Linked DNA regions of Astyanax mexicanus. The protein of the gene in region 2 purifies or fractionates together with the protein of the main gene of each other region. This does not show direct contact. Links are inferred from orthologs where the notes say so. Each region holds a gene or a part of one and is shown on either strand. Other genes may lie near its edges.

Region 1 (7,255 bases), on a different chromosome or scaffold from region 2:
AGCTCACCTGACTCTTAAAGGGAATGATGAGCAAGTGACACTCTGATTGGTTTATTTCACATTACGTCCAAAATTAACCACACCCATGATTAATTAAGAGAATTAGTACATGCCTTTTGCGTATTCCAATCCAGGCAGGGTGTACTTTTCCCATTGTTTCGATAGCAAAGACACACTGACGTACCCTAAATCAACAACTCGCCTATAGATCTCTAATACAGGACCCATTGCATTATACAGTAATAATTTACTATGTGCATACTTTTTGTTTTTTTAAATACATTTTTTCCACTAGCAGCACCAAAACCCTAAAGCATGATACATCCACCCCCATGCTTCACAGCTGGCATGAAATGCAGCTCCTGTTTGTTAAACCTAAGTAAGATTAATGCACCAATGCACCTTTTATGCAGGTCTTATCTTGCCCTTATCAGTCCTTTTACCATCCAGTCACTGTATTCAATTTACAGCAAAGACAAATTTAATGAACGTGAACTCTTGATGCACCAACAAAAGCTCAACCTTAACCAGCGTCTTTCAGCAAAAAATCATCTCACCTTGCTCTTCATTGCAGCTGAGTAGGGACCCAGAAAGAGGCCAGGGAGGATTTCCTACAAGATCAACACAAAATGCATTAAAAAATAAATCCATAAACAGCAGGAAATAAGGGATTAAAAACAGTAAGCTCACTCACCTGCATCTCTCTCCTCATTGGATACGACCAGTCCTGAAACAGAGGAGAAGATCAGTTAGGATGGCCAATTTCCCAATTTCCATTCATATGAAATAGCCCATCACAAGGGAGGCTTAGGGAGCATCTGACAAGTTCATGTCAGAAAAGAAAGCATCTGACTGATAGGAAAACACAGCTTAGGGAGGGTCTCACAAGCGGTGTGTCATATCGTATCATACGCAATAATATCGGCAACGTTTCTGAATATGGTGAACAATATTATACCCTGAAATATGGTGCCATATCACCCACCCCTAATTATCACATCAGGGTTCTACTTTTTTACTGTCTTATATAGGGAGTGTCTGAAATTATTACGTTAGTTAAAGCTCCACTATGTAGGATTGAGATTTTGTGCCCCCTACAGTTGCAGAGTGTAATAAATGTTTCAGACGGATTAGTTTCTCTTTCTCGTTTTCTTGCTTTCACAGACATATTCGGTCTCTTTCCAGCTTCTGCCAGTGTCTGTATGTTAGTTTGTAAAGAATGAACCAGTAGTCCTTGTAGAACTGTTAGAACTAAAGGTCGGAAAGCAGGTCGCAGTTCTCGCGAGCGTTGGTCGCGGCCGCCTCGGAAAACTCACAGAGTCTGGTTTGAGCTCAGAGGAGCTCCGGCACAGACACGAGAGCACCGCTATTCCTCCTATTACACCTCAATGCAGCGCTGCAGTGAGTTTCAAGCTGTAATTTTACTTCTTTAAAAAGATCAAAAATCAAAGAAATCCTACCTAGTGCTGCTTTAAGAAAGCGTCTGACTGGTACACAATACACAGTTTAAGGAGCATCTAAAGGGTACAACAAACCTCAACATCTTAGGGAGGGTCTGAAATGATTAAGTTAGTTAAGAAAGCCTCCGATTGGTACAAAAAAAAAAGAAAGCACAGTTTAGGGAGCGTCTAAAAATGGTACCACAAACCAACACCAACCTCCATACCTAAGAGGGTGTCTGACATGTTTAAGTGAGTTTAGAAAGCACTTGACAGGTATGAAAACACAGCTTAAGAAGCATCTGAAGGGTAAAACAAACTCAACTGACATATTCAATTTGTTTTGTAAGAACAAAAAATCTAAACTGTAATTAAGAATCACTGGAAAAAGGTAAGAGCTATACATTTTTCCCAGATGCACTGTAGCTACCAGTCAAAGCTGCCCACCCTTCCCACTCAATGTTTTTATTTTCTAGATTTTTCCTACATTATAAATGAATAGTGAAGTGATCTATTAGACTATGTAGGAACACATAATGAATCATGTAGTAACTTAAAAACAGTGTTAAACAAACCAAAATACTTTGTGAAGAAGCTTTTAGATACTCTTATATAAATGCTTCTTCGCAGAGTGGCCCTGATGAGTGCCAGTTTTATCATTAAGATAGATTCGATGGTCTTTGTGGTGACTGCACTTGAGGATATTTTCAAAGTTCTTGACATTCTTCTTTTCATAGCAACTTATTTTTTTCTTTATTTAGTTGAGTAGTTGTTGCTTCTCATAATCTGAATTAGAACATTACTCAAATATTCACTATTCACTGTATACCTGTAACTCTACCTCTTCACTACTTTACTTTAACTGATGCTCTCAAACACTTTATTAAGAGACAAGAAATTCTTGATCTAGCTTTAATATATTATATTAATTTTTACAATGTAACAAATCAAAAAAAGAAATTAAAACACATTCAATGGGATTGAATGAGGTGTGTCCAAACTTTTGACTGGTACTCCACCTGCTGTACAAGGGGGTGCATCTCTAAGATCGTACCTTTATACTAGTGAACCATTATAATTACACACAATACGTTAAATTAACTAACCTTAATTATGCACAGTGTGGGGGATCCCAGGAATGACTCTGGCAACCCCAGTTTTAAGATGTGCATTGTAATACTCCTACATAATCTCTAAGATTTTTAATGCTTTGATGTTTTTTTTTTAACAGTGAGCCATTTCACTTTAAGATACTATATCACAAAGCTAAAGTTGGCATGCAGTCCATTCCACCTTAAATGCAGTAACATTTAAGGTGGACTGGAGAATTTGGAGGAATGCAACTTCAGCCCTGCACTAGTTACGTGGCTTCCACCCAAAATAGCGAGCTGCATGACTTGCCAAAACAAAAGGACCACCTGAAGTGCTGATATTAGTGTTAATAGTGAGAATTAGAAGTAAATATTAGAGCTGAAATCTGTGAAATGTGATTTAATACAGTAAACGTTACCAGTTGGTCCTCCTTGCTCGCAGGGAGAGACGGGAACTGCAGTTTATTCCCCTCGTCCATGCCTCTCCTCACAATTACATCCGATATCCAGCGTTAAACGGCGCTCTCCCGGCCTGTAACCGGATTAAAAACAGGAATAACGCGCTGAACTACGAGCTCAAAACAGCCGGAGTTTGTTTAGGAGCGGCGCATGTGTCCGCCATGCTGCTCCTCTAGCAAATCACGTGACACACAGCCCACCGAGGGAGCGTCTGACATGTTCAAATCAGTTTAGAAAGCGTCTGACTGGGACGAAAAAACACACAGTTAAGGGAGGGTCTGACAAGTTCAAAACAGTTTAGAAAGCGTCTGGTACACGAAAACACACAGCTTAGGGAGCTTTCGAAAGCGTCTGAGTGATGCAAAAACACAGTTTAGGGAGCGTCTGACATGTTCAAGTCAATTAAGAAAGCGTCTGGTATTACAGCACGCAGTTAAGGGAGAGCTGACTGGTGCAATAACACAGTTTAGGCAGTGTCTGACATGTTCAAGTCAGTTTAGAAGGCGTCTGACTGGTACGAAAAAAAAAACACACAGTTTAGGGAGTGTCTAACATGTTCAAGTCAGTTTAGAAGGCGTCTGACTGGTACGAAATTCACACAGTTTAGGGAGTGTCTGACATTTTCAAGTCAGTTTAGAAAGCGTCTGACTGGGACGAAAAAACACACAGTTAAGGGAGCGTCTGACATGTTCAAATCACTTTAGAAAGCGTTGGGTATTAAAGCACGCAGTTTAGGGAGCGTCTGACATGTTCAAGTCACTTAAGAAAGCGTCCGATGGGTACAATGACTGTGAAATATTTTTTATAAAAAAATTATAGTCATTGATAAGAAAGCATAGCTTAGGGAGTGTCTGAATGGTACAACAATCCCCAACATCTTAGGGAGTGTCTGACATGTTCCAGTCAGGAAAGCCTCATGGTGAAGTCACTTTAGAAAGCGTCTGACTGGTCCTAAAGCACAGACCTTAGGGAGGGTCTGACATCCAATATATACAAAAAAACAATCTTAGGGTGTATCTGACAAGTTTAACTTTAGAAAACATGTAATAAGCAATAAACATCTTTAGAACAAAAATATTGTACAGTAAAATGTCCAGTCAGTTTAGAAAGCGATTGACTGGTATGAAAAAATACATTTAAGGATATGTTTAAGTTTAAGCACTTGAAGGGTACAACAAACCCCATGATTTTAGGGAGCGTCTTACTTGTTCAAGTCAGTTAAGAAAGCGTCTGACTGGTACTAAAGCCCACCGCTTAAGGAGCGTCTGGCATTTTCACGACAGTTTAGAAAGCGTCTGACTGGTACGAAAACAGTTTAGGGAGTGTCTGATTGGTACTAAAGCATACAGTTTAGGGAGTGTCTGATTGGTACTAAAGCATACACTTTAGGGAGCGCCTGACATGTTCACGACAGTTTAGAAAGCGTCTGACTGGTATAAAAAAAAGTTTAGGGAGTGTCTGATTGGTACTAAAGCATACAGTTTAGGGAGTGCCTGTTTGGTACTAAAGCATAAAGTTTAGGGAGCGTCTGACATGTTCAATGCAGTTAAGAAAGCGTCTGACTGGTACTAAAACACACTGCTTTAGGGAGCGTCTGACATGTTCAAGTCGGTTAAGAAAGTATCTGACTGGTACAAAAAACACACGGGTCTGACATGTTCATCTCGCTTTATAAAAACATCCAATATATACAAAAAAATGTGTCATTGATACGAAAATATAATTCATTAAATAAAGAGTATGATATGAAAAACTGACATATGAATGAAAAGGCATTTGAACATGAGTGTCCACACTTTTATTACAAAAATATAATAATTACATGTTTATACATTCTTTGAGTGCCCTGCATTACGCTTATATCGCTTATATATGCTTATAGGAAAAAAATATATTTCACAAAATGTGACTTGTAATATAAACGTAGTGTGGCGTGAGGAGGCGGGGGAGTTGTGGGTCCGCCCCACGCCAGAGCGCAAAGCCATGCCTGTCTCAGCTGGCCCGCATGAGGGCTGATTGAGCCGCCAGTTGAGACAGGCATATATACTCAGCCTCCGCCATCATTTGGGAAGAACTCTTACACTGGGGAGCTGAGGGCTGAGGCTGCACGGACTCGTATGTAGCATGTAAAAGTAAACTACGTAACTCTACAGACTCTAGAGCCCCACTGGGCGGTAGCTATGTTTAATTGAGTTATTCTGGGTGTGGTGGAGGGCGTTAAAAGCAAATAAAAGGTATGATTTGAGTTCATTTAATCCCCGTGTCTGTGTATCTCTGTGAGCTTCCTCCTTCCGGGTCACAGTGGTCACGCCCCTAACCCCAGGGGCCTACCACAGTAGCCAAAGTGAATCAATTCTGATTTGAAAAAAAAAAAAATGCGTTCACACAGCTATAAAAAAATCTGATCTGAGCCACATTGAGCAAAAAATCAGATTTGCGTCACTGCAGACTAGTACAAACTAACAGACAGTTTAGGGAGCGCCTGACATGTTCAAGTCAGTTTAGAAAGCATCTGACTGACAGAAAAAAACACAGTTTAGGGAGCGTCTGACTGGTACTAAGCCATACAGTTTAGGGAGGGTCTGGCATGTATAAGTCAGCTAGGAAAGCATCTGACTGGTAGGAAAACCAAGCTTAGGGAGCGTCTGACATGTTAGAAAGCATCTGACAGTTAAAACTATTTACTTTTAAGAGTATCAGAAATGTGCAAATCACTTTTGAAAGCAAATAGGAAAATAGGAACAAAATATATATTAGGGAGTATCTGTTATATTCAACTCACTAAATTAAATGTATGATAGAAATATATAAAAAAAAACATTTTAACATTTTAAAACATTTCTGACATATAAATGAAAATATATTTAAACATGGGTGTCCACATTTTATTAAAAAAATATCATAATTACATCTTTATACATTCTTTGATTGTTCTAAATTACACTTATATCTTGGTCTGACATGTTCATATGACTTTGGAAAGAATATTTTACTTAAAAAAACATTTTAGGTAGTGTTAAACATCTTATTTTAGAAAGCATGACAGTGAAAAACACATATTTACCATAGGGAGTGTCTGACATGTTCAACTTGCTTTAGAAAGCATTCAATATGCACGAAAACATATCGTAGGTATTTACTTTAGTATACATGCAGAGAAAACATGAAATAGGCACAAAAACATTAAACAACAAACAATATTCCTAAAACATTACTTTAGGGAGCGTCTGATGTTTAACATACATTTGAAAACATCTGATAAGCACAAAAACATATTTTTGGGAGTGTATGATTTGTTCAGCTCACTTTAGAGTGCATCCCATATGAAGAGAAAATGTTAGGGAGTGTCTGACATGTTTAATTCATTTTAGAAAACATTCGATAGGCACAAATACATACTTAGGGAGCGTGTGGCATGTTCAATTCTCTTTAAAAAGTGTTTGAGGGTCAAAAAGTCCAGTATTAAACAAAGCTTTTCATTATTTACAGGCTAAATATATATTTGGTCAGTCCTTTTATCCTTTTTTCATCTGTCCTCTGTAGTAGAGAAGTAATCTGTGGGACTGCTGTTGCTGCTGCTGCTGCTGTTTGTGTTTTCTGCCTGATCAGCTCGATACATCAGGTAGTTGAGGCCTTCATTGCTGAGAACATGAGTCAGTCCTGATCCCAAACCCTCGTCTGCATCCTCACCTCTACACTCTTCCTCCTCCTCTTCTTCCTCTGTAAAAGAAACAGACAGAAGTTAATGCGTGTGATTAATCTAATTTGACCACAACCTATTCCTGTAATTCACTCATTTTACAGAATCTGCTGTTGTATTAGCAATTTTTAGCTGTATTTAGCAATATAAACATGGTGATAGTGATTTACTAATAATGAGTTCAGAAGGTAGATAACTTCTTAATTGTGCTAATAGACGGATTAAATGTCTATCATGCACACACACACAGATTTGCTAGCAGGTTTTATTTACAGGTTGTTTCCAGGTTGTGAATGCGGAATATGGAGCTAGAGTTCATGTCCTTTATTAACACTCGCAACTCTTTTTGTCCCCCTTTCCCAATGATACAAAGAAGTTGTGAATAATACAATAATGACAGCATTAATATAAATATATGTGGGTTCGGGAGATTGCTATTTCGAATCCCGGTCATGCAGCGTGCCATCAGCTGCCGGAGCCCTAAGAGAGTAAAATTGGTCTTGCTCTCTCTTTTGGTGGGTACAATAGATGGCACTCTCTCTTTCCCCTCATCACTCCTAGGGTGA
Region 2 (7,239 bases):
GCAATAATCTTGAAATAAACTTTTTACTGGAAGTAGACTGGCTTTATATAAAGTTCTGTAAAGTTTACGTTCTTATAAATCACTCACTTATAGACGGGCAGAGCACAGCCGAGCATCAGGAACATCAGGCCGATGGCTCCACCGAAAGAAAGGCCGATCAGTGCTGGAGAAACAGAGAAGAGAAGAAACAATGACTGTTAGGTTATGTTCACATGGCTGGTCAAAGTTTCCCAAATCTGAGGAAAATGTATGATTAGAATAGCACTGCTGAGGTAAATGTATGATTAGAATAGCACTGCTGAGGTAAATGTATGATTAGAATAGCACTGCTGAGGTAAATGTATGGTTTCCACATATTTGGTTCAGATCACCCTTTGCAAGCAAACTTTTAAAATGTCTTGTGTATTTTGTACTGAGCCTTGGCTGAAAGTTTTATTTTGTGTGTTTTTAGTTTCAGACGACGCTGGTTTTTATTATTGCTTTATTAACTGCTATCAGTGCTAATTTTAAATAAATACACAAATGGATTTTATCAGTACTGCAGATCTTCTGTACCTGGAAAACTTTTCTGTACAGAAATAACTTCTAACCTTAATCTAACACAACTAATCCAGCTAATCAGAGCCTTCAGCTATAGGTACAGGAGAGAGAGACACAGAGAGAGAGAGAGAGAGAGAGAGAAGGGTAGAGAACGAGAGAGAGAGAAGGCGCAGGATCTCAGCCAGTTTAGAGGAGGGTCTGTATAACTTAAAAAACAAAACAAAAAAAAAACAATTGCAAAGTTTTCTTATTTTGTAAAGTTTTGTAAAGTTTTGCATTGTATTGCTGCTCTCTTTTTTTCTGAGGTCTACCCACAGATGTTGTTTGATGTTCTGGTTGGAAAACTGAGGACTGTGGTAGAACTTGGAACAGTTCTTTATATATTTGCATAAATAAATTGATGAAATTACTGTAGAAATTATAGGGATAGACACTTTTCTATCATCCCCACGATATTTAACCTCATATCGCACAGCACTAAAAAAAAGAGGACATTTAAAAGAGCTGATTTATGATTTATGAGTTTAAACACCCATTCACATTAACACAGAAGGCAGAAACGTGCCAGACTTCCAGAATCCACTGTGATAAAAATCACATCTGTATATTTGATTTTTATTAAATACTTGATGTTATAAAGCTTTTATCCTGAAGAAAATGTGTGCAACCAAATCAAATGAGATTTTTTGAGAGGCTTAAACTACCTTAAATTCTTAATTTATCACGTTTATTATCTATATATCTGGATTCTGAGCAGTGTTATCATCACACATCACATTATTTCAGTATCATACAACCCATAATATGACTTTCTGCACCCAAAGCTTACTGAGAATTCTCTCATATGATCGGTCATATGATCTGCCCCCACTGGGACTACAGGGAAGGAGGCAGACTAAATAAATACACTGTAAAATACACGAATTTAAACTAAATTTTACAATAAAACAAGTAAATGATGTTACATGCACTAAATCACCAATGTATTTAATATATATTAATCTATTCATTAAATAATTAGGTAATTAATGATTGATTAATAGCATTTTAAACATGTTTACTGCATCAGCTCACACAGTTGCTCTATGTTTCTACATTATCTGCTTTATTTAAAGCTTTAAGTGCTATTTATTACACATTACTACAGTAATATATTTAAATATTATTAATATTCATCTAAAAGTACTAATAACAACAAAGCAGCACCGCACTGCAGTCATGACGAAGCTAAAGTTGGCTCAGTATCCTAATTCCCCAGTTCCACCTTAAAACACCAGTATATGCACTGTAAACTCGAGCTGTCCACAATACAAAGCGCTGCACTATTTAAGGTGGACCGGTAATAATACTGAGAGTACAGCGCAACAACTCAAGCTGCATATTATTGTGTAGCGTTATAATCTAACCGCGAGCTGCAGCGTCATATAATAATAATTAAACTTAATAAACTCATTATTGTTAAACACAATACATGTTCATTAACATTATTTTGTTTTGTCCTCATGACGAGGCTAAAGTTGCGCGAGAATGCTAACTCTGCAGTTCCACCTTAAAAGCTGCTGTGGTCACACAGTGACGCCCGAACTGTTCTAATACAAAGCGCTGCACTATTTAAGGTGGACCGGAAATAATAGAGCTAACTGAAGTCAAATATTTCTGTGTATAATCAAACCCTGAGCTTCAATGTTGTATAATAATAGTTATATCTAATCATTAATGATAAATACATGTTAATTAAGGTGATTTGTTGTCTAAAAGAGCTATAAATCCAGCAGAACTGAGCCCCGGAGCCCGTTAGCCCGCAGTGCTAACCCACAGATACCGTTAGCTCCAGGAATAAAGCGGCCGCAGCGCTGCAGCAGCTACAACTAAATAAATAAAGCGCTAATTCACTGCACTTTAAACTGCAGATAAACAGTAATAATCCGCTCAGTTTCTCACCTTTAATCCCAGCCATGATTTACAGCGGTAATTTCAGGAAAGATGTAAAATCTCCGGCCGCGCAGTCCGACCCGACAGAACACACTCACACAGTAACAATACCGCGCCTGCAGGGGGCAGCAGAGACCCGCGCGCAGACCGCAGATCTACAAATCATCTTTAGGTGGAGGCCTCATGTTTGTAGATCTGCGCTGCGTGCAAACAAAACTCCAAATATTTACTGTAATACTGTATAAGCCCAAAAAGATCAGCAGCGAATTATTTTCATACTATTGATACTATACTACCATACTATTGATTTTTATTCCCGACTCTGTATTTTAATTAACTTTAATTATTAAGTAAATTTCAATATTTTCACGTCATTATTTATAAATCTCTATTTTTTGAAACACTAAAATACTCCAAAAAAACAACTCAGTATCTCAGAAATAGTTAAATAATTTTGGAAAATAATGAAAGCAATTTATTTTTTAAGAAAAAAAACTTATTTAGGTGTCGGGAACTGGATTCAATAGTAAAACAACAGTTTAATTTAATAAAATATTAGAACATTTGAAAAAAACGTGTTGTTTCTGAGTTAGTTTCCTTTACTGTGTATTACTGTATTGTTTTTATTAAAAAATATATGTAAGTATATTTGTTTTCTTTTTTCTATGTATTTCTATCGGCGTCTCTCTCCCCTCCATCACGGACATTTACACCACCCGCAGCATCCACAAAGTAATCAGCATTGTGAATGACCCCACTCATCCCTCACACGAACTGTTCTCCCTCCTGCCTTCGGGAAGAAGGTACCGCAGCATCCGGTCCAGCACGACCAGATTCTGCAACAGCTTCTACCCCCAAGCCATCAGACTCCTCAACTGCAGAGACTGAACTGATGGTTTTTCTGTACATGCGCACACACTCTTACCCCACTTACCCCAGAAAATGGAAAGCACTAAAAACCCTACTACCTCACTGGACTCTATTGCACACTGTGTAATAGAGTAATTACTACCTCACTGGTCTTTTTTGCACACTTTTTGCACACTGCATAATTTGCACACTGTCTTGTTATTTATTATTCTTTGTCTGTATTGTGTTGTATTGTCTGTCTGCACTTTTTGTACTGTTGCACTATTGTTCTGTCTACACTGTGTTTATGTGCACCATGGTCCTTGGAGGAACGTTGTTTCGTTTCACTGTGTACTCTGTATATAGCTGAAATTACAATAAAAAACACTTTGACTTTGACTTTATTTGCATGCCCAGTAGGGGGCGGAATAAATCGCTGTGTGGAGTCTGCCTTCAGTTTTACTGAAGAATGAGAAGATAAAAAAATAAAAGTCTGTTTTAAACAAATAAATATAACAATGACGTGTTTTTCGCCAATGTATAATTATACTATTCGGCTCTGTTATTTTTTCCTGTTATAATAGTAATTATAAAAAGCTGAATTATGATCTGATTTTGCAGCGATACGGGGACTTTTATGTGGTATATGAGTTGTGAGCGGTTCCGGCTTGTGAGCGTGTGGAAGGATGGATTGTTTTCCAGAGAATATTTTAATAGAGATTTTATCTTATTTAAGTATCAGAGAGCTTCTCCGGTCCGCCAGGTAATATACCCTCACCTGTACTTACCTGTACACTCACCTGTACACTGCTTTACACTGTACACCATGTATTATTACAGGGAGTGAATGGGCTGCTGTACATCACTGTGCTGTGTTTACATTTCTAACAGAGCAGCTGTACTGTCTCTTACCTATTTAATATTATATTTAATCTTATATTTAATGTTTATTTAATGTGTGTACTCTGTCTAATGGTAAGCTGTGTATCTGCTGATGGTTAGAGAACAGTTTAGCCTATAAAGATCTGTGTTGCTGTGTCTATGGAGCTGTTTGTTAACTTGTGGTTTCTGAGGCTGGTAACTCTGATAAATTTATCCTGTACAACAGAGGAAACTCTCGCTCTTCCTTTCATGGGATGGTCTTGATGAGTGCCAGTTCCATCATTATAAAGTTTTTGATATTCTTTGCTGTGATTTCACTTAAGGATGCTCTCAAAATTCTTGAAATTTTTATTTTCTTTATTTAGTTGAGTAGTTGTTTCTTCTCATAATCTGGATTAGAACATTACTCAAACATTCACTATTCACTGTATACCTGTAACTCTACCTCTTCACTACTTTACTTTAACTGATGCTCTCAAACACATTAAGAGACAAGAAATTCAAGTAATTAACTCTTGATGGGTTCAGCACAGCTGTTAACTGAAAGCCTGAATTCCAGGAGAATTCAAAGGTGTTTCCAAACTTCTGACTTTGAAAAAACCTTTAGACATTTATTAACAGGATCTTTATTATGCTCATACGCAGGGTGTGTAAGCGCTGGAGGCAGCTGGTGAAGGACCAGAGACTGTGGCGTAATGTAGATCTTTCAACATGGAAAGGAGTAAGAGCTTCACTATTCTATTCTATTCTGTTTTATACTTGTTTTAATGTATTCTGTTCTTTACTTACTCTGATAGTTTCAATTTCAGACTGCAGACCGAATGCACGAAAAAATGGGAGGGGTAGTTTGGAAGAGGCACTAGGTGATGTATGGGTTTAGGGGTGGGGCAGAAGGGAGAGCTGATTGGCTGAGCTGCAGCAGCAGCAATGGTGCCTCTAATAGTGGTAAGACTCAGATGGTTGGACGTCACCAGGGGGGCACTGTTATTTATTTATTGATTGATTTGCACCATCCTTACCTATAGCATAGATAAACCTGTGAGGGTTCAACTATGCTATAGGAAATGACCCCAAAAATTATTATTGTTATTAGTATTATTATTATTATTTTTTATTTACAAATTTTAAGCATGACTGGTTAAGTGTGTGTGTTATTAGATGACGTCGCGTGTGCTGTGGGTGTTGTTACGGCAGTACCTGGGGCGTGGGCTGCGGTACCTGCGTCTGCGTGGGCTGCTGCTGTCTGCGCGGGCCGGGGCGTTCCTGTCCGAGCCCTGGCTGCAGACTCTCTCCTCTAAATGCCCTCGGCTGTGCCGGCTCACCCTGCTGCACACCGACCTGCGCGGCCTGCGCAGCTGCTCCCTCCTCCCGCACACCTTACAGGTAAACCGCTCACCTCACCCACCACACCTGCAGCTCAGCGCAGCGCATAGTCCTACATTTCCCATGATTCAGTTCACACCCGTCACAGTGTTTAGGATATATTTAATATTAATCTTTCGCTTTTCACCAGGTGTTGTGCTGAATCGTGTCTCTCTGCCAGAATGCGTCTCTATTCTTCGGGCACAGGTTTGTATACTGCTGAGAGACGGATTTCAGCACAACACCTCTTCCTTTACTTCTTCTACTGTTTAATGATGATGATTACCCGAATCAACTTCCTGTAAGTGAATGTGAATGAAGTCCGAACCGTCCAATAAAGTGTTTATCTATTTTGCTTTGTTCTACTAGATGCTTAAGCATATATTTAATAATTATTCATGATGGATACTAAATAATATGAAGTGGATCCTGTATAACTCATATGGGGGAATCATGAATAATTAATAGTGGGTAGTAAATAATTCATAGTGGATATTAAAGAATTTGAATGGATATGGAATAATTCATATTTGGTATTGAATAATTCATAGTGGATCCAGTATAACTCATAGTAGATATTGAATGAATCACAGTGGTTCCTGTATAGTTCATAGTCTATAGTAAATCATTTATAGTAGATATTGAATAATTCATAGTGGATCCTGTATAATTCAAACTGAATCATGTATAGTTCATAGTGGATACAGTACAATTCATATTGGATGATGCATAATTTATACGGGAGCATGTATAATTCATTGTTGATAATTGATCATTTATAGTAGATATTGATTAATTCATAGTGGATACAACAAAAATCATAGTAGGTACAGGATAAGTAATAGTAGATCTAAATAATTAGTTCTGGATCATGAATAAAACATAGTGGCCACTATATAATTCACAGCGGATGGATAAAGCATTGTGTGTGTTTATTACAGGTGCTTGAGCTTCGTAGCTGCGAGGTCCCTCCCGGTTTCTTTACCCAGAATCCCCCTGGTTCACCAGAGCTGGACGGCCCCAAGCCGGCCGCGTCCAAAATCCACAGCAAGCCTCCGAAGTCTCCCTCCTTCTCGGGCATCAGCATCGAGACGCTGGTTTTGGACAACGTCCCGTCCTTCACCAACCAGCACCTGCAGAGCCTGAGCTCGTGGGCGCGGCTGAGCCGGCTGGAGCTGCGGGAGCTGATCCGGGTGACGGCGGCGGGACTGCGGGCGTGCGCCCCCCCCGGCCCCCAGGCCCTCGCCCGTCTCCGCCACCTGGAGATGGACACGGGGAACCGGCAGCAGATGGCGGCGCTGGGGCTGGGGGAGGGCTGGGCGGGGCTGGAGGGTTTGGGGCTGGGCGGGCGGGAGGTGAGCCCCGGTCTGCTGTGCCTGAGCCGCCTGCCAGACCTGCGCTGGCTGCGGCTGCGCAACTGCAGGCTGACGGAGATGATGGTGCTGCGCAGCTGCCGGACGCTGAAGGAGCTGCACCGGCTGGAGTTCTGGCAGGTGGAGTTTGTGACGGAGGGCAGGGGTGGAGGAGAGGCGGAGGGCGGAGGAGAGAAGGAGGAGGGGGAGCGAGAGAGGGAGGAGCCGAGCGAAAACGACCCGGTGCCGAACCTCCGCCGATCGCTGGGGACCCTGCTGCCCAAGTGCAGTTTACTGTTCACTCAGTGCAAAGTTACGGAGA

Evidence for each region.
Region 1: the proteins of F-box/LRR-repeat protein 12 (region 2) and styx purify together in Homo sapiens (affinity purification with mass spectrometry; 4 studies listed by BioGRID and IntAct, with this or other methods). This does not show direct contact. The link is inferred for Astyanax mexicanus from reciprocal best matches to the Homo sapiens genes FBXL12 and STYX.

What each region holds. Positions count from the first base shown.
Region 1 is NC_064421.1:3,369,145-3,376,399, forward strand, and holds the start of styx (serine/threonine/tyrosine-interacting protein), read right to left. Parts: upstream 3,201-7,255; 5' UTR 3,010-3,200; coding exon 2,950-3,009; intron 728-2,949; coding exon 695-727; intron 612-694; coding exon 558-611; intron 1-557. Other genes in the region: ros1 (proto-oncogene tyrosine-protein kinase ROS), read right to left, coding at 6,516-6,709. UniProt on the Homo sapiens protein: Catalytically inactive phosphatase. Acts as a nuclear anchor for MAPK1/MAPK3 (ERK1/ERK2). Modulates cell-fate decisions and cell migration by spatiotemporal regulation of MAPK1/MAPK3 (ERK1/ERK2).
Region 2 is NC_064426.1:629,628-636,866, reverse strand, and holds the start of F-box/LRR-repeat protein 12, read left to right. Parts: upstream 1-3,959; 5' UTR 3,960-4,007; coding exon 4,008-4,084; intron 4,085-4,848; coding exon 4,849-4,924; intron 4,925-5,361; coding exon 5,362-5,586; intron 5,587-6,506; coding exon 6,507-7,239. Other genes in the region: leprotl1 (leptin receptor overlapping transcript-like 1), read right to left, coding at 88-163, 2,482-2,497. UniProt on the Homo sapiens protein: Substrate-recognition component of the SCF (SKP1-CUL1-F-box protein)-type E3 ubiquitin ligase complex.